3 linked regions of the Drosophila melanogaster genome follow. The protein of the gene in region 1 interacts with the protein of each later gene in a pairwise test. Each region holds a gene or a part of one and is shown in the gene's direction. Other genes may lie near its edges.

Region 1 (6,579 bases):
GCGCATCTGGCGGTCCGACTTAAAGTCCGTCGTATGGTATATTTCGTTACGCAGAATCGTATAGTCGGTAAGGACGACATCGTACTGGGCCAGATCGAAAGGACTAACCCAGAAGGTTGAGTGTAGGCCGAAATAAAGGAGCACCTTAAGCGATGGCGATATATGCTTGTGTATCTCTTCGAACCACTGCATCTTGATGGCGTTCGGAGATACAATGATGGTAGCGCCGCTCTCAACAAGCCTTTCGCCAGACTTTACCAATTCGGACCAGCAGCTGGGACACAGGTGGGGTAAGTCTGATTTTTCTGAAATAGTCATGCACATTTCGTGTTGCCACCGACGGCATTTGGTGCACTGCACTCGTTTACCGTGTTTCTTGGTGCAGATGCAGAAAACCTCGTCTTTTTTACTTATACGTGACCGCTTTAATGGCACTTCATCGGAAAACTCCTCGAGGCGTTGGTGCCAGTAATCGTTTCGGTAGGAGTCTTGTGGGCGCGGATTCATCAGCAGCATGGCCAGGAACTCCACGGTCTTGCCCAGGCCCATCTCGTCGGCCAGAATGCCACCCGGCGGCAACGAGATTTTGGGAATCTCCTCCTCGAAAGGATAAAATTGTAAGCAGTATTTATGCTTAAAGACGCGAGTTATACCATCAATGGCATGGAGCACTATGAAGTTGGCCGGCACTTGAGTTATCTGCTGCTCCCGCCCCAGCATCCAAGATACTGTGCGCTGCTGGTACTTGCGTAGCTGAGATTGAAATCTTTTCGGCAGGTCTAGCGAACGTTCCTGTTCAACATGAACGGTCTGGCGGTGCTTTTCGTAGAGGGCGTCGTACAACTTGGTGGTTACATATGTTTTTAAGGGACGCTTGTGCTCCTTCTCCTGCTGGGCCACCTCGAACTCGAGACTGCCTCTGAAGTCTTTAAAGAAAAGGGGCAGAACTTGTTCTCCCACTTCCATCTCGATCTCACGTGCTCGAACATGCGTCTGTTCATGGCTTAGCACCAGGATGCAGGAGCCCGACTCCTGCCGAATGGATCTGAACTTCAGCTTTCTCGTCCGAGCATTCTGGCCTGAAATATTTTCTTATTAATAAGTGCAATTATAGTACGTTAGCCTACACACATTTTTCAATACAAATCAAAATCTCCTCTTTATGCTCAACGAGATTATCTTTGAACACCCATCGCTTCTTTCCGTAGCGGAACTCCGTTGGATCCTCGGGACTTTCTGGAGGTACTTCATCAGCAATTTCGCACAAAACAACGCCATCCATTGTTATTTGCGAAATAACAATTCGGACAAACAAATGTGCGATGACCGCCAATTCGATATACGATAACAGAAAAATCTATATCGGACACCAAATGACACACCTCCACAGCTTAAATTTAACGATTGCAACAGGGGAATCTTTATGTTCTCTAGAAAGCAAAACATTTTCGGTAAGTTATCAAATAGCAACTCAGGCAAAAATGAAAAGAAAGAAAACCATTTAAAAAGAAAACCAATTAAAGAAATATATTTATAATAAAGAACTGTATTTAAATCATAAAACATAATTGTATGTAGTTTAGTTTCTACAATATGTGCAGCGGTTATCGTGTGAACAAGTTGAAAAATGACAATCGATAACCGATTGTGTGAGGACACGGTCGATCGGCCGCATATATCACACTGAGTTAATATACCCTGTAATCGAATATTGTCCACCTCTACGAAGCAGTGAAGAAAATTATAGCGTGGTTTTTTCGGTTGAAAACCAATCAAAAGTGCAACAAACAGTGAGCAAAACAAAGTCCAGCCAACTCGTAAGTGTGCGCCCAAGCATCCCGCAACCCTTGCAATCTCAAACGACCGGCATACAACCATTTTTCGACCCGCATTCGTAGTGTATATGTGGAGCCTGCTTGGCATAATTACAAAAATTTACGCATTACTTTGTGAGAGCCGAGTGTTGAGCTGAGTCTAGTCTGTGTTCAGTGTATTAATTGCGCTATTCCGCTTATCCAAATCTCCAATCCCGTCCCGCAGAGCCGTGCATGCCAAGTCATCAGCGTTCCGCGAGTCCAGCGAAGATTGATCTTGTTTCCCCCAGACTGAAAGTGTCACCGCCAAGACGTACGTGCGAAAAATGTTTTGGGACAAGGGTTATGCGCCCTCCGCGAATATAGAGGCGCTGCTCGAGAAGGAGGTAGGTTGACTCGATCCGTGCTGATCAAGTGGAAATGTCTCAGTTACGCGTCGTCGCCATTCGCAGAACTCCACACTGGAGGAATTTCTGGACGAGGAGGACATACTGCAGGAGTGCAAGACGCAAAAGAAGAACCTGGTCAACTACTTTACACGTCCCGAGGTCATACGGCGTCTGGTGGAGCTGATCACGACCGAGCCCTCTGAAGATGTGCCCATGTCGAAGCGTTTCCGCTATGCCAACATGTCCTGTGAGATACTCACACTGTAAGAATTGAATGCCCGTTGCCATCCAGAATTCTATAGCCCATGCCATTTTAGCGGCCTGCCGTCCCTGGATGAGAAGCTACTGAACGACGCGGAGACGCTGCAGCTGCTGTATTCATATCTGGAAAAGGAACCACCGTTAAATCCATTGCTATCGTCGTTTTTTAGCAAAACGTTTAGCATGCTCTTTACCAAAAAGCCTGAACAAGATTGGTTTTTGTATCAACACATGTGCCTACAACTCCTGGAGTATATTAAATCGCAGAAGACCTTTTTGGATTTCATTTGTAAACACTTTGACACACCGGTCATACCTGATCTAATAATGCAGATGATGAAGGACATCGAGGGTGGGCGACTTAAGCGGAACCTTTTCGAAGTAAGTCCATTAGAGAGTTTTGCCTAGGCATACGAATCTTATCGAATATTTCTTTTAACAGTGGCTAACTGAAGATAAAATTGTTGAGAGACTGATTGCAATATTGCGTAATCCTCAAGAAACCGACAAACATGCAAATGTTGCCGACTTTTTCTGTGATCTTATTAACCAAGGGCGTCTAATGCGCCAGACCGAGCAGGAGAACGATTCGTTTGAGCCGGCCTTCGATGGATCCAACCCCATTCTGAAGACGATCGAATTTGCGGACACAATTGAAGCCTTGTTAAATGTGATTTTGGAACCAAACGCTCAGGAGAGCGCCATCTTATCAGGAATATCGGTTGTACTTACGCTAATCAAGCCAATTACCTTCACGTAAGTTATGCTGCCAGTGAATTTGTCACCTTATTCTAATTGATTTACATTTTTTCCTGTAGAGATGAGCCCAACTCGGATCGCCAGCGGTTGTTGCAAAAGCGCGAACGCGAAATCCACCAGGAAGTCCAGGAGACTGTGATCACTGTGATGGCGCCACGCCTCCAGGAATTTGTCCACATACTGAAAAACCCGCCTGCGGTTAGCATGAAACTTTTTGTCACAAAGAACCAGCTGTTTATCTTTTGACTTGTAGAAACCCACACTAGAAACCACGGCCGCCGTGTTAACGCCCCCATTTGGAAAGACTCGACTGCAAGTTTGTCGCGTGTTCACCGCTCTGCTGGAGACCAAGCATGAGACTATTCAGCAGGCGTAAGTCACTGCTTTATAGAAAGGAGAACTTTTAATAAATAATAACTTTTTATACTTTAGAATCTGCGCGACTGAGTACTTCAGCCTGTTGCTGGACTTTTTCAAGCAGTACTGCTGGAACAACTTCCTGCACACAGAAATGGAGAAGGCACTGTACGTGGTCTTTTACAACGAGCTGTCCAACAACAACACTGCATCCACGGAGGTCACGGATTACTTCACTGCAGACTGCCTGATCAATGCCTTTTTGAAGGTGGGCACGGAGGAGTCCGAAGTCGAGATGAAGAACGCTCTTAACGATGCGAAGCGCGCGGAAGGTGGCAAGGATGAGGAAGGGGGCGACATCGAAATCGAAGTGGCAGCTGCGCAGGAAGTGGCTGCCCAGACGCCCGATGAGCGACAGACAGCCGCAGAAGAAAACCAAGAGCATGAAGAACATATGAGCCAAGTGGAAGCCGCAGCTGAAGCAACAGCTTCTGAGGACGCCGAACCCAAAGCCCAGGATAATGAAGTGAAAAATAGTGAGGTGGATGGTGAATCTCCAACAGATCAGCAAGAATCGGAGGCAACGCTCAATGATCTCGACAAGACCAAGACCGTTCCGAGCCCTCCGCCTTCTGAAATGCAATCACATGTAAGTCTTAGTTGACTTTTGTACCCAACTAAACTTAATTCTCGCTGATTTGCAGTTAATTGTAAACTGTCATCTGATATCCAAACTGGTCGACTTGTGGCAGCACAATGCGCAGGCGCAGTAAGTACTTCAATTGACTAATTATCAGTCTGGCACATAACAAATGTTCTTTTTTTAGATCTGCTGAGAAGGGTCGACGTTTGGGCTATATGGGCCACCTTATTAAAATTCTTCGTCACATTACGAATTGTATATCAGAATCTGAACATATCGGTGATCTGATCACCAGCAGCCTAAGTGATGAAGATGAGGTTAAGCTGTGGCAATCGTTGATCGATGCGGAAACTGGCGAGTTTTCGCTGGCGGTTAAACAGCAGACCAAGCTCCTGGCCGACTGCAATCCTCACGAGGAGAATCAGTACAATGATGGATCCAATGACTATACTGGCGAGATAAATGCGTGGAACGTTGGTAATCTGCCGTACAGAGAAGTGGATTGTAGTGAGCTGAATAACACGTTGCAAGACATCTTCTTTGCCATAGATCAGAATCGGTTCCAGTTTGGTCGAAACATTGACGACGAAGATGATGACGATGATGAGCATGGCGACCATTCAGGCGGTGGTGATGGCCACGGGCACGGCATGTTCACCAAAAATTCGAACACGCTGAACAACTTGGCTGACCCTTGGGACATCCAGTTTGCCGTGCTTTCCAGCGCGCCTACGCAGGTTAACACGGGCACTGCCAACTGGGGCACGGATTTCAATTCGGATAACTTTGCTGATTTCGATGCGCACTTTAGCACATTTGGCAGCGATCTTGGTATGCCCATAAGTGCGCCGCCAGGTGAAGAGGAAGAGGAGGACTCTTCCCCAGCGCCGGAATCCGCCACACAGGTGAACCCAGAAGAGGAGCGCCAACCCGCTGAATCTATTGGCCTCGCTGTGGGCAAGGGCGTTCAGGATAATCTAGCGTGTACCGACGATCAGCAGGCTGAGTACGACAATAATGCCAACGTGGAGAAGGCCATCAGCGATAAGCTGGCCGAGTCGAGCGTGGTGGAGACTGCAGCAATTGTTACTCGATTGCAATCCGTACTGCTGGACGGCGAGGATGATTATGAGGACGATGAGGGAATGTGGACCAAGCCACTGGGTGCGGATCGTCCTTCGGAGACCGAGCAAATTACTCCCATTTCAAATGGACCAGACAGCAAAGTGAATGAATTGTAAGTTAACCCTTTTGCACGTGGGTATGTAAATATGTATATATGAAATGTTTATACTTTTAATCTATTTAAAATGCCAAACAAGTTTACACCTATGCAATGTATTGGTTTGTAGCTCAATTTTTTGTTTTACCATTTATTACTTAAATACATTGCACTTGTAATTAAAACCAGGGGTTTACCTTTCAGCAATCATGCCAACGATATCAGCAGTAACAACGTGGATGGCCACGAAGCCAACATCACAACGGAGCAGCAGAAATTGGCCGCTGCCGCCAAGACGAACAATGTTGAAATTGCAACTACGACCACATAAATGCACTTCCTCACCACACCATACATCATTCAAGCGATATTGTGTCGACGAGAAATTGTAAAAACGCCTTTGATTTGCTCTTTGGTCATTATCATGCATACATATTTATATAAATATATACCACATACTACTACTATACGTACATATATAACAGGCTGCATAGTACAACAAAAGATTTGTGTATTAGCAAAAGGCCGAAACCCGCCCAAAACCAAAATGCAAATTATCAAACAAAAAAAAAAAAAAAAAAAAAAAAAAAAAAAAAAAATAGCATCAAAAAAATATCAAAAAGCTAAAAAAAAATATTCACAGTAAAAAGTGTATTGTTGATTCCTTCTGCTCCTCGCTCGTATTGCCAATTATTTTAATTATTACACTTTCTTCATGTTTCCTAATTAAGAAAACTGTATTTTGTTTGTAATATGTATTAGTCTGTCGATTTAGTACGCTTTTACTTTCAATACTCTCAATGTGTTAGGCAACCTATGAGCATTACTTAAAGTACCAAAATTCACGCAACGTTTAGAATGCTTAGTTTATATTTGTATTGTATTCGTTTTAGCTCGATCAGATGAGGATTATCTATCTATTCATATGATATATGTATGTATATACATATATATATATATATATATATATATATACACTTTTGGAGCTGTCAGTAAATTACGTTATCGCAAAGTCGTACGTTATCGTCCTCCTATTGTGGGGAATCCCCTCCAATTAGTGGTGACGTAATATATGGACAACTCCGCACTTATACTTGTATTGTTAAATTGGAGACTTGTATTTATTGTATGTAT
Region 2 (5,009 bases), on another chromosome or scaffold:
CGGGTTCTGACTCTGGTTGCCGTGGTGCGGGCGATAGGGTTGCGGTCCTCTGGGCACGTTCTGGCCACAGGTCACGTTGGCGTAGGTGGGCTGGGCCATCGCCTGCTGCTGCTGTTGGTTGGGAGGCGGGGCCACCGGCGGGGCGCAGTGGCACTCCGTCTTGGCGGGCTTCTCGCGACAGGTGCAGCGGGTCTCCAGGGCAGGCGGCTGCTCCCGCGGACCCCGGCTGCACGTGATGTGGTCCGCCTGAACGGATGGCGGAGGTGGCCGGCTACGGTTCTGAGTGCACGTGCACTCCACGGTGGGGGCTCCCCGGCTCTGGTAGAGGCTGCATGCGGCGGGATCGCCCGGCGGCTGCGTCGAGTTGACCTGGCACCCGCCTGCTCCCTGGCCCCGCGGACCCGGATAGGGACAGCTGTCCGGCTGCTGCTGCGGCTGGTGGGCGTACGAGGGGGGTGGCCTGTGGGGCGGCTGCTGGGGGGGTGGGGCTCCGCCGCTGGTGCCGCAGGGACAGTTGTTGCACTTGCCACACGGAGACGCTGCTGGCGGAAGGATTAGCGCGCTGCGGGTGGCGGTCTACAGTCCATTTGATACTCACACATTTTCCGAAAGTTAGGGCTTAGGTGTAATTAATTGTCCCTACAGGCTGTCCTACAAGCTGGTAAATCAAAACTGACAATTCCGGATCGAGATCTCTAATCGGGTTTTGTATACCCTGCGTTCTTTGCATTCATTTACGCTTTAAAAAGTTTGTATGACCAAATATATCTATAAATTAACAGTTTGAAAATAATTATCAATAGCACTCCATTAGATTACTTATAAACTTATGGACTCCACTGGTTTAGTTAAGCCCAATTAATGTTTAAATTTCTGCAGTTTTATTTGGAATTAACAAAAAAAAAAAAAAAAAAAAGTATAGTCGTATGTCCTATTACCAAATAATAAAAAGAGAAAGCTGAAATCATGAGAACGCTTTGGTCGAATGCCCGAACTATTGCTTATCCTAAGTTTTGCCTACTTTTCTTATAATTCAATTTACCTTACACTCTTCGAGTAACGAAAATAACAAAAGCGAACACGAAATTAGGATGACCAGGCTATCAGATACCTAGTATCAGATGTCTCTTAAAACTATTTTAAAATTAAATGTACGAAAGTAATATTCTACTAAAGTGCAACCTATTGAAATAGATTCCAGCGGAAATCCCGAGGAATTTCGAAATTAAATGCAGGAGAATTCCTTGATAATTTATGTATAATGTATGTACGCGTAACAATCACTTCGCCAATCGGATTTAAACAAAAGTGAAAAAAATTGATTATAAAATAATTCTTAACATTTTAAATTTATTTTTTCCTTTTTTGGTTCCTGGATGAATATCTTATCCGTGAGTCTAGGAGTATGACCTTGAGCAGTTGTTGTGTCTTCTGCAAATTGACAAAATGGCTATATTGGCCACCAACCAATTTTGAACCCGACTGAACTCATAGCTGAACTACTTTACCTGGAAGAAGTCCGGAGTCCCCACATCGACACAAGGACCAACCGTAACCCGCTGGAGACTCCCGCCCAACACGGTGTCATTGGTGACCGTTGAGCAATTGCTGCAAGCTGCGCAGCTAATGTTGTTGGTTATCTGGCGGCTGCAGTAGAGTTTTGGGATGATGTGGATGCTGGGATGAGTGATTTGATCCTGGGGAGTAGTGTATTAGTAGTGTAGTATTTAATGGTGAGAAAACTTAAAAAAAAATATCGGGCACAGTTATTTTTGGGTGAAGATGCCGTTAATTTTAAGGTAGCCCTAGTTCTCGCCAGACTTGAGAATACCCCAGACCAAACTATGTGGTATTTCAATCAAGTCAGGTGGTCTGCCTCGTATTTTCCACAGTTATATGTACGGTCACACTGGCGAGCGGACGTACACTTCGCTTCGATTTGTCCGCCTGTGTTTTTTGTAACGGCCACGGAAGTGCATTTCTGGTGTTCTCGTAAATTCTTTGTGCTCCAGCGAGTAGGGGGTGGAAAGTGTGGCTAAAACGGGAAACCGGGAGATGCCGAAACGCCATTAGCACCAATTGCACGTCGGCTATTTTCCAATTGTGTGTGTGCATTTGTTTGTGTGCAAGCGAAAAAGTGCAAGTGTGCGAAACTGCAATGCACATCCGTATCGAGTTTTCTTGATTTCCCCATAAACAGACGGAAAAACAGCGCAACGACTTCGAAAGTGCAGCCGTGTTTGTATGGATAAACGTTCCTACCTGGCCACCAGGTGAGTTCCCCAACCAGTTCACACTGGCACTCCAATTGGAAGAACGGACTAGGATCGAGAATAAGTAGGTACACGAGCACCCAAGTTGGAATTAAACGCAGAGAACTCAAGCCAGACGCACATACCCCCACACGCACGCACACACCCTTACGCCTGTATACACACATGTTCTTGTCAACAGCTGAGTTGTTGGTGCTACACAGCTGTATTGCGTTGCGATAACGGCACCCGGAGTATGGAAATGACAGCTGTCCCTGTCTGCACCACCCCACCCCCCCCCCCCTCCCAGGGTGCTATACCCTTCTGACGCACTGCGGCTAGAGCAAGCGAACCGGGACCCTTCGGTGTATATGTGCACTGTTATTGTTTTGGTGGTGCAAAGTATCGATGTCGATGCTGCGATACTTATTCCTTGGGAAAGAAATGTCTACTTCTATGGGTTAAATTGGATTTCAGGGACCTTAATTAATAATAATTTAATGACCTGCCAAGCATAGATTGCAAGTAAATAGCAACTAAAAAATAAGTATCTACTTTGTTTTCATTTTTACTCATATACTAATAGTTTATTTTAACATAACAATGTATTCTGGGAATTGGCAGAAAACCTATTCGTGTACCTATTTCCTTTGATCTTAGCAGACCATCTGCGCTATAGCACTGAATAATGACCCCTCACGTGTCAAAGGGAACTTGCCCCAAGTTATTTATAATATTTTGTAGCTTTGCTTTTGCTATTTTGGCTGTGAGGTGCGTGCACCGTCGAAAAGGTCAGACATGGGCTGATGTCTGGCAGCTATAAAGCGGGTCAAGATTGAATAACGCTCAAAAGGGTGAAACGAGATAAATGGTGGAGGGGTTGACGATTCTAATAATGTCAGTAGTTCTGGAGTTTAAGATTGACGTATTTGTTTGTATTTCGTACATATCTACAGCTGTGTTCAGAAAATAGCAGTGCGAAGGAAACTAAGTAATACAAAGGTATTTTTCCATGTCCTTTTTCGGAATCGACTTTTTATTCCACTTATTTTTGTTAAATTGAATGTGTAGATAGGAAAAAAAAAGAAAAGCCGGTTAGTTTTTCTTGTTATCCTTTTTTTATTTACATTCTTGAGCAAAATCGCAATTTTTAGGCTGTTCATAAGAATAGCAGTGCCTGGTTTTGACCAACGTAAAGTTCCGAAATGATCATTATTTTCTAAAAAGTGAGTTTGGTTAAGTTAATTCGTATATTTAAAAGGGCAAAAAATTAAAAAAAAAATTTTAAATTATATTTTAGTGGGTGGAGGACAGCACTGCTCCCAGGAGAAAAGAATGTTAATTCTTAAGCTTAGAAAGGAAGGAAAAGCATTAAGGACATTCAAAAAACTCTTGAATGTGCTGCCAAAATGGTATCCAATACCATTAAATATGAATGGAAGCCCGAAAACCGTGGTACCAAACGTAAAACCACAGAGATAGAGGATCGACGCACAGTTCGTTAGAGCAAAGCCTATCCTTTTGCATCCTCTAGGGACATAAAGTCTGAGCTGAACTTGGGAATCAGTGACGTTAAAATTTCAGTGCGAGGAGTCCACGAAAGGTTCCCCCACTTAGCCCAAGGCTTATTCAGGCAAGGTTTACCTTCGCTAAAACCTACCGAAACTGGCCAGTCTGCAAATGGCGTAATATCCTTTAGACTGATCGGTCAAAAATAGTGCTATTTGGTGGAAGTGGTTCACTACAGTATATCTAACGACCTCCAAACACGGAGTACCACCCAAAACACCCACTGAAGACTTTCAATCACGGTGGACCTAAAATCCTGGTATGGGCTTGTTTTTTTACAATGGTTATGAGTCCATAACATATGATTTATGGTATTATAGACCAAAACGCATATGTAAATATACTTAGTGATGTCTTATTGTCATATTCTGAATATAATATGCCCTTAAAATGGACATTCCAACAGGATAATGATCCGAAACGCAGATGCAAATCGGCTAAGAATAGGTTCACCCAAAATGGAATAGATGCAATGCCGTGGTAAGCACCATCTTCCGATTTAAGCCCGATTGAAAACCTGTAGGGGGACATTAAACAATATGTGTGGAAGAAGTCCCCGACGTCTAAGGCTCAGATTTGGCAAGTTGTGCAGGATGCATGGGCAAAAATTCCTCCCAAACGTTGCCAGGACCTGGTGGACTCCATGCCGCGTGGGTGTAAGGCTGTGCTGGCTAACAAAGGCTATCCAGCCAAGTATTAGGCCCGAATTAACATATTAAAAAGAAAGACTAAGTTCGTTCTAAGTCAAGTTGAATTTTGTTACTATTTTTTCATAGCACTGCTATTTCATTGAAAACCAGAATTTCTGCCTATTATGTTGTTTTAATCTATATTTTCGAAACTATTAAAGAAATAAAAGCGAAACATTTGTTAAATTGTTTGAAATTAAATACCTAATGATATTATAAAAAAAAATTTCCCATTAAAACTGTAAATCATAAGAATTTTTTATCTTAAACACTCAAGTCCAAAGCACTGCTATTTTTCTTAACACAGCTGTACATATATCTAGAGCATTTCCCCTCCATGTCATTCGAACTTTTTGTGTGGTTATCAATTTACCCGCTAGTTTACATTTCCGCAATGTGTCTGTCTTTTCCTTCTTCACATCGACCTACATGTACTAGACTTTTTCGCTTTGTTAAATAATTACTGCTGTCATGTGCTTCTTAGATGTTGGCGTGAGTC
Region 3 (7,638 bases), 4.8 Mb from region 1:
GTCTGACACGAAATATTTATTCATACCTTATTGTTTTTCCAAATCACACTGCAAGTGATCTCGCACGTACGCAGCTCTAAAGAGTTTTTTTTTATTAATAGTGAAATGTATTATTTTACGTCTTTAGTTTCGATTTGTCTACGAAAGAAAGGGGTGTTTGAGCCATGAAAATATCGCCATAGGGATTGGTGGGTTTTTGGCTTTCGCGGTCGAATTCGGAGCCAATGGCCCACAGCGACTCCAGATCGTATTCCTCGCGAGCACTCGGTGAAAATATGTGCAGGGCAATGTTGCCTAAAAGGAAACGGAACGTGTTAGAGCGGAGAAACCGGAATATGCATTTATTTCAATACCCACCCAAGTCCATGGCCATCCAATCCCGGCTCTTATCGCCCTCGATGCGCGGCAATATGTCACCCTTGCCCCGCTTGATCTTGAACATTCGGCGCACGAACTCCGCGGTGGACAGCATGTGTCGGTAACTGCGACCACTGCAAACCACCAGGTGGTCAACGTACTTCAGGTTCTCCGGCACGTAGCAGACGAATATGTCGTCCACATTCTCCTTGCGGAGCAGCTCCACCAAGTCCTCAACGTCGAACACTCCGCGAACACCTCCTGCAAAGGGAAACAAAGGCTTAAATTTCTGCTCTCCCTGGACGATTGCCAACCTACGCTTTAAATTGAGGCCGTAATAGTGATCCAGCTCCAGGTCCGGCTCTGGAAGTTGCTGCTCCTGGTGGCGTGCCTCTTCCACATCAAAAATCTCCGTGGCTTCCTCATCGCGGAATATTTTGTACTTGTCTTGCACGCCGGCAACCAAAGTCTTTTCGGGATTGCCTTCGATTTCCTGGCCCTTCGCTGCCTGTTGTGGCGGCTTGGAGAACTCGTGGTGGAAGCAACGCAGGACAGGCACACTCAGGCGCCTGTCGTGCACTAGGCGGAACACGCGGGTCAGCATTTTGCTTTGGCTTCTTTCTGTTGTTATTAATAAATTGGGTAACAGTTGTTGATTCGATACTTTTGGTATTACTCGATAACACTGGTCAACGATGAGCGATTGTAATATCGGTATTTTAAAGTATTTGAACCCAATTTTCTTATCAGAATTTTTCTATTTTACTTTTAAAATATTTTATTTTATTTTTTTTATTTTATTTTTATTTAAAATATTTTATTTCAATTGTTTTTATATTGTTATGTCTTTAGTTAAGTATTTAATTTTATATAAATTATAGAAAACTTATCCCGAATGTTATATTATGTTTCAGTAAAGTTCTAATTTCTGCGCAAGCACTTTAGTTTCAGTATGTGTTCTATTGCTCTACAGCGCCTGGTCACATTATTTGATGGTGAAAATATCGATAGACGTAACTAATATTTCAGAATAATAATGTCGCAGATACAATATATTGTGTTTGGCTTGCATTTGTAAATAGGAATCACCATAAGAGAATATAATATGTAATGCGATCAATATAGTGATGTACAATCGAACTATCACTCGGTATCGCACTGCAAATACCGATAGTATTTCGCAAGCTCAAATATTCGATACATCGACACTGTCGTGAGTTGTCCAGCTCTAGTTCTCCTCTGAAATTAACCAGCCGCCTGATAACCAAATTAAAAGTTATTAAATCGGAACAAATCGCAGCAAAGTGTGCACAATGAGCGAGCAGAAAACGAGTGGGAGTGGGTCGGCGGCCGCTGCCCGTCTGCAAATCGAGGCGGAGTACAAGGACAAGGGGCCGCAATGGCATCGCTTCTACAAGGTAATTGGCAACAACAACTGCGACTGCACTGAAAACTGGTTACAAACTGGACGAATGATTGTGGCACAGTTCGATTCGCCAAGGATTCGCAACGGATGCGGAGTATACACCTTTCCACAGCTCCTTGGCGCTCCGATTTCCACGAAAATGTGATGAGTGCGCAAAAGGCTTCTGCAGATGCCTCCACCACCAACACCAGTGCAGCGGCGAGCTTTACGTGTGTGCGTGTGTATTGTGTGTCAGTGCTGTTGTTGTTGCAGTTGTTGCTTTAACAGCCAGGCTTTGGCCAAAAACAAAAACCCATGGAAAAGAATGTACAAACAGAATAGCACCAACACACATACACGCACACCTGCTGCACTTTACTTTGCATTCTCCATCGAACGCGTGTGTGTGTGAGTTCGTGCGTGTGTATTGGCCTGTATTTGGCATATTTATGCTTGTTATTCTGCCATACCTTTCCCCAAAAACGCTTTCCTTTGACTATCAATAGAGCGCTTGAGCTATTCCGCGAATTCTCGTTTGGCCAAATCAAATTGGAGGCGATTTCTGGGAAGCTCGTTGTGTTTGTGATTGCCGTCCCCCAAAAACAAAATACAATTCGTGGAGGGGTGACAGTGCTCTCCACTGAAGAACTCCTCTAACGCGCGCACACACACACACACCCGCTCGCGTTGAGCAGGAGAGAGAGGCTCACGCACACAGGGGCACAAAGGGCATGCGTCTGGTTTTTTGAGTCTCGCTTTGGGCTGCTTCTGGTTGCCTGTCGGAATTGGAGTCGGAATCCTCTCCTTGCCCCTTCTTCTCTCCTCCTCCACCTCCACTCGTTCTTTATAGCCAGTTCCGGCGAACTGTCTTCAGCTGCTACTCCTCCTCCTCTGTTCCTCTGTGCCTCTTTCAGCGCTTCCACTCACTTGAATTGGGATTTCACGGAATTCCACTCCGCAGTTAGGATGACACAGTATATGGTCGTGTGTAGAAATATCTCGTTTCTGGACCCGCTCCTCGGCATCCTCGTTCGTCATCCTTTGTGCTCGCGTCGAGGATAATCTAATTTTCCAGCTAACTGGAAGGCAGCCCGCAATTGTGCGTCGAAACTGACTGGAAAATAGCTACCAGCCATTTCCACTGAAATACAGTGCAACTTGACTAAGACGATCTTGTTAGGCCAAAGTGAGATTTCAATAAACTTTCTTTAATCATATTTTCTCATTAAATCATAAATAGTTTTCAGCTTGATAATATTACTTTCGTGAAATTCATCTAAATTCGCTGAATTTTATATGTTCCATAGCATGTAAACGTTGACTCATTTTTGTTGCAATGAAAAACAACTATGATCAATGTGAAAACATCACATTTTTCGATGATTACTTTATGAATAAGACCGACCTACCCCAATTTTTACTTTAATAACATTTAGCTGTGCATGCTACTACATTTCTGAAGAAAATTATAATCCATTATAGGCACTTATCTGTCTTTATTATAGAAATTCCAAAACACATTCTTCTAAGAATTAATAAATCGCAAATATGTGTGAACATAAACGGTACAACTAATTTTGTGGTTATCATTAAAACTTCCAATTTATTTGACATTTGCCATATGATAGCCCATCATAGGGGATTTGGACTGTAGCCAAAAACGCAGTGACGCATTCGGACCGTATTGTTTTGCTATGCTTTGCTTTATGTTTAATCATTTCCATTGAACGAAGTGCGTTACACTGGGTCTTCTCAACTCGCCGCCCCTCCCCGCCTATCAGCTCATACCTAGCGCCTTCTCGATCCATCCGTTCCATCAACATCCCACCCAACCCACTCCGTCCCATTATGACAACCTCCGTGGACTGTGACGAAGCTCCTCCACAGCTATACCCTGCCAGAGGGTGTTATAGTCCTTACCAGTCGTTGGTATCAACAGGTGACCGTCTTCTTTTTCGTTTCTCTGGAAACAGTCAAGCCAGATTTTATGAAATATGAAACTTGTTAACTCGCATAGTGTGTGTGAAAGGGTATGTCAAATTCGTATTGGCCAAGAAGTCTTTATCCATCGTTGCAATTGTGCTCTGCGTGCATGCAATGTTTTTGTTACTGTTTCTCGATTTCCTTCGAGCGTTGCAAGGTAAAGCAGAAACATAATAACCATAAAACGGTTTGCACGACACGCTTTGGAAACCAAAGCCCCCGAGATTTCCGCGCCTTCGCTTGGATTTCGCCACTCCGTTTAGAAGGGTCACCTGGATAGCCACCGAGCATAAAAAACAGTATGTAGCTGGTAAACGGCCCAAGACTTAATGTTCAACGGAGCCGAAGAACTGTTTTCTCCATCAGAATGAATCCAATCCAAGCTATGGATTTACATAAGTTCCGGATGGATTGTTGATTTTATATATCATATCTAGTTTGATATAGTACAAGGAATACAACTTTATACATCATAAGTACACTGAAAGTCTTTATCATTGGCAAACATTTAAATAAAGCAGCTCAATTATCTGCGCGTATTCTCACGTGACTCGTCGATTATCAGACCTTAAATAGGTGATTGTAGAAATGCTATTGAGTTGAGGAGTTTCGAGAAATATTAAGTGCAACCATGGATTTCTTTCCGTTTCTAATTACGAATTATCAAATGTAGCGATAGCCATTGAGATTTTGCTCTTTGAAAAGCTTCCTTATCGGTCATTAGCCCGTCTCAGATTTGGAGATTACGTAAAAATATGACTCTTTAAAGTTATTTCATAACAGGTCAGCTGCAGAATTTGCAGCTGATTCATTGTTGAAACATGACGAACTGACAATTAACAACTGATTTTCGAGCTGCAATCAACGCGAGCTGATGGGTAACCATATTAAATGGTTACTCATCACCGCATGCATGTGATTAGCTTTGAGCCGAGTTTAAGGAGCACTTGTCGTCGCCAGGTGGTTGCCATTGACCTTGTTAACGGTTCGGTAGTCGGATTCGATGGTTCAATTGGCGGGGCCACTTTCAGCTGCGCCAGCAATTCCCCGTTCACACTGCTGATAATGCCGCACCGGTCATGCCCAAGATAATGCCATTACCGACAGCTTGCTTTGCCATCGCCATCACCAACATCGCATGGCTAATTAGTCACGCCCGCTATGTAGACTGGGTGGGCTTTTCATATGCCGCATGGTTCCCTCCCAGTCCGATGCCCCTTACATGTATCTACTATCGCTTCAATCGCAGGGTTTGCCAATCCGGAGGAGCCCCTTGTCGCTGGGCCAAGTGATGAATCACTGCAAAGGGGGCAACCCCCATGGAAAAAAACAAATTCGATTTCTGTAACATTCTAGCATTCTTCTAACAGGATCTTATCAATTCGTTTCTTGACAATTTGTTTGCGAGTCAGTCAAACAAATGTATCACTTTAAAACTAGTTATTATCAGACCATTATGAGTCTGAACGTTTTCATTTTCTCGGAACACAAATCGTAAAAAGCTTAATTGCGCCTTACAGTTTCTCAGTTTGTATGGTTCTAAAAGGAAGCTCTGATATTCGTTTTAACAATGCCATTCAATACTATTGTGCACTGCTATTTGCTGTTTGCTCTTGTATCGAAGAATTCGTTGGGTCATTTCATGCATAAATGTTTAATTAGTTTGAACTTTTGGTCTTATTACTGTCTTAGATAATTGAGTAACACGAAAACTATATTTTTTACGAATTTTGTACCAGAAAGAAGAGATCTTCCAGTAAGACACTATAGTAGTTGTCTTCTGGGGTCTGGAACGCTTAGGTAAATAGCGCAAATCTCACAAAATCCCCTGAATTACCGCCTGCAAATTGACTGATAAGTTGTCAGTAAAGCGACCGAATTTTAATACCACCTCAACCTTTGTTGTTATGGGTAGTTTCGATTGTACTAATCGCTCTTTTCGGAATTCCAGGAAATTTGTGAGACCTGCGACCGGGAGGCGAAGGAGAAGCAGTTCAGCACCTCGGAATCGGAACGCCACACGAACCGCGGCCTGAATCGCTATCGGGATGTGAATCCGTACGATCATTCCCGCATTGTTTTGAAGCGCGGCAGCGTAGACTACATCAATGCGAACCTGGTTCAGGTGGGTCACGTTTTTAATGCATACACACACCCCTAATTAAACGCCTAATGCGATCAATCAATCCTTTCTAGCTGGAGCGCGCCGAGCGCCAGTACATCCTGACCCAAGGACCGCTGGTGGACACAGTGGGCCACTTCTGGCTGATGGTATGGGAGCAGAAGTCCAGAGCAGTTCTCATGCTCAACAAGCTGATGGAGAAGAAACAGATCAAGTGCCACCTCTACTGGCCCAACGAGATGGGAGCCGACAAGGCCCTGAAACTGCCCCACGTCAAACTCACCGTGGAGCTCGTCCGTCTCGAGACCTACCAGAACTTTGTGCGGCGATGGTTCAAGTGAGTAGAACTCTTTATTCTTCTTCTGCTTCAAACCATTTGTACATGTGGACTAATTGCCTTTGACTATTTCTCTAGATTAACCGATCTCGAAACGCAGCAGAGTCGTGAAGTGATGCAGTTCCACTACACCACATGGCCGGACTTTGGCATTCCCAGCTCGCCGAACGCATTCCTTAAGTTCTTGCAGCAGGTTCGCGACTCCGGCTGCCTCAGCCGCGACGTGGGTCCAGCCGTAGTGCACTGCAGTGCCGGAATCGGGCGGTCGGGCACCTTCTGCCTGGTGGACTGTTGCCTGGTACTTATCGACAAGTACGGAGAGTGCAATGTGTCCAAGGTGCTCTGCGAGCTGCGCAGCTACCGCATGGGCCTCATACAGACCGCCGACCAGCTGGACTTCTCCTACCAGGCGATCATCGAGGGCATTAAAAAGCTGCACGATCCCGTATGTATGCGCGACCAGCGGTCGGCGTTTGGGAGTCAAACTTGGGGGCTGCCAAGCACCGCCGTATATATTGCACATCGCTATTTATTCTGGGGGGTCACAGAAATCTCTGGGCTTGGTTATGGTTACTAGAATTCATATTGTTTAATGGAATTATGATTACTTTTGAAAACTGTATTATGTTTAGTTTTGTTTTTTATTATGTGATCTAGTATCAGCTTAATGATTATTGTTTAATTGATGCGAAAAAGAAACCATTGTTTTTGGTTTGCAGAGATTTCTGTGAAGGCCCTGATTATTTTCCGCGACTAATTAGAACATTTGATTTCTCTTCAGACCTTTCTTGACGCTGAAGAACCCCTCATTAGCAACGACACAGAGACTCACACACTGGATGAGCTGCCGCCGCCATTGCCCCCACGCGTCCAATCGCTTAATCTGCCACTGGCCCCCAATTCCGGCGGTATACTTTCGCTCAATATGCGCGCGGCCCAGGCTAATGGAGCTGAAAGTATCGGCAAAGAGCTGAGCAAGGACGCCCTGAACAACTTCATTAATCAGCACGACATGATCCACGATGCCGAGGTGGCCGACAGTCGTCCCTTGCCGCCATTACCCGTAAGGGCTTTCAACGATTCGGACAGCGATGAGGATTACTTGCTGGATGACGATGACGAGGACGACACCGATGAGGATGAGGAGTACGAGACCATTAACGAGCACGATGCCGATCCAGTTAATGGACACGTGCCCGCGACAACACAGCCACATGCCGACGATGTTAATGCCAACAACGAGAAGCCAGCGGTGCCAGTCGACGAGCAGCACAAGGCGAACGGCATCGATCCAATTCCAGGCCAGCTCCCAGCCAGGTAAGAATCTAGTCTTAGATCTGCTCAGTATCTATTTTTCAACCGCCTAGTCAAACAAAAATCCCTCTAATCCCCTTCCAAATTCGTACTTTTCAGTCCCGAGAACGAGCTGAAGCG

Evidence for each region.
Region 2: the proteins of fmt (region 1) and Cerk interact in a two-hybrid assay, tested with the Drosophila melanogaster proteins (one large-scale study listed by BioGRID).
Region 3: the proteins of fmt (region 1) and Ptp61F interact in a two-hybrid assay, tested with the Drosophila melanogaster proteins (one large-scale study listed by BioGRID).

Annotation. Positions count from the first base shown.
Region 1 is NT_037436.4:6,168,998-6,175,576, reverse strand, and holds fmt (fiery mountain), read left to right. Parts: upstream 1-1,696; 5' UTR 1,697-1,817; intron 1,818-2,040; 5' UTR 2,041-2,140; coding exon 2,141-2,200; intron 2,201-2,266; coding exon 2,267-2,466; intron 2,467-2,520; coding exon 2,521-2,845; intron 2,846-2,906; coding exon 2,907-3,220; intron 3,221-3,282; coding exon 3,283-3,421; intron 3,422-3,476; coding exon 3,477-3,595; intron 3,596-3,655; coding exon 3,656-4,229; intron 4,230-4,284; coding exon 4,285-4,349; intron 4,350-4,407; coding exon 4,408-5,460; intron 5,461-5,634; coding exon 5,635-5,776; 3' UTR 5,777-6,008; downstream 6,009-6,579. Other genes in the region: CG7376 (uncharacterized protein), read right to left, coding at 1-1,079, 1,132-1,282.
Region 2 is NT_033777.3:5,365,185-5,370,193, reverse strand, and holds the start of Cerk (ceramide kinase), read left to right. Parts: upstream 1-1,887; 5' UTR 1,888-2,273; intron 2,274-5,009. Other genes in the region: CG31542 (uncharacterized protein), read right to left, coding at 1-539, 599-602.
Region 3 is NT_037436.4:1,344,509-1,352,146, reverse strand, and holds the start of Ptp61F (protein tyrosine phosphatase 61F), read left to right. Parts: upstream 1-1,547; 5' UTR 1,548-1,670; coding exon 1,671-1,775; intron 1,776-2,604; exon of another isoform or gene 2,605-2,948; intron 2,949-5,696; coding exon 5,697-5,870; intron 5,871-5,941; coding exon 5,942-6,204; intron 6,205-6,282; coding exon 6,283-6,649; intron 6,650-6,985; coding exon 6,986-7,521; intron 7,522-7,617; coding exon 7,618-7,638. Other genes in the region: CG9166 (uncharacterized protein), read right to left, coding at 116-294, 358-618, 676-961. UniProt on the Drosophila melanogaster protein: Non-receptor protein tyrosine phosphatase. Required for maintaining dock/dreadlocks in its non-phosphorylated state. Negative regulator of InR/insulin-like receptor signaling through dephosphorylation of tyrosines when recruited by dock/dreadlocks.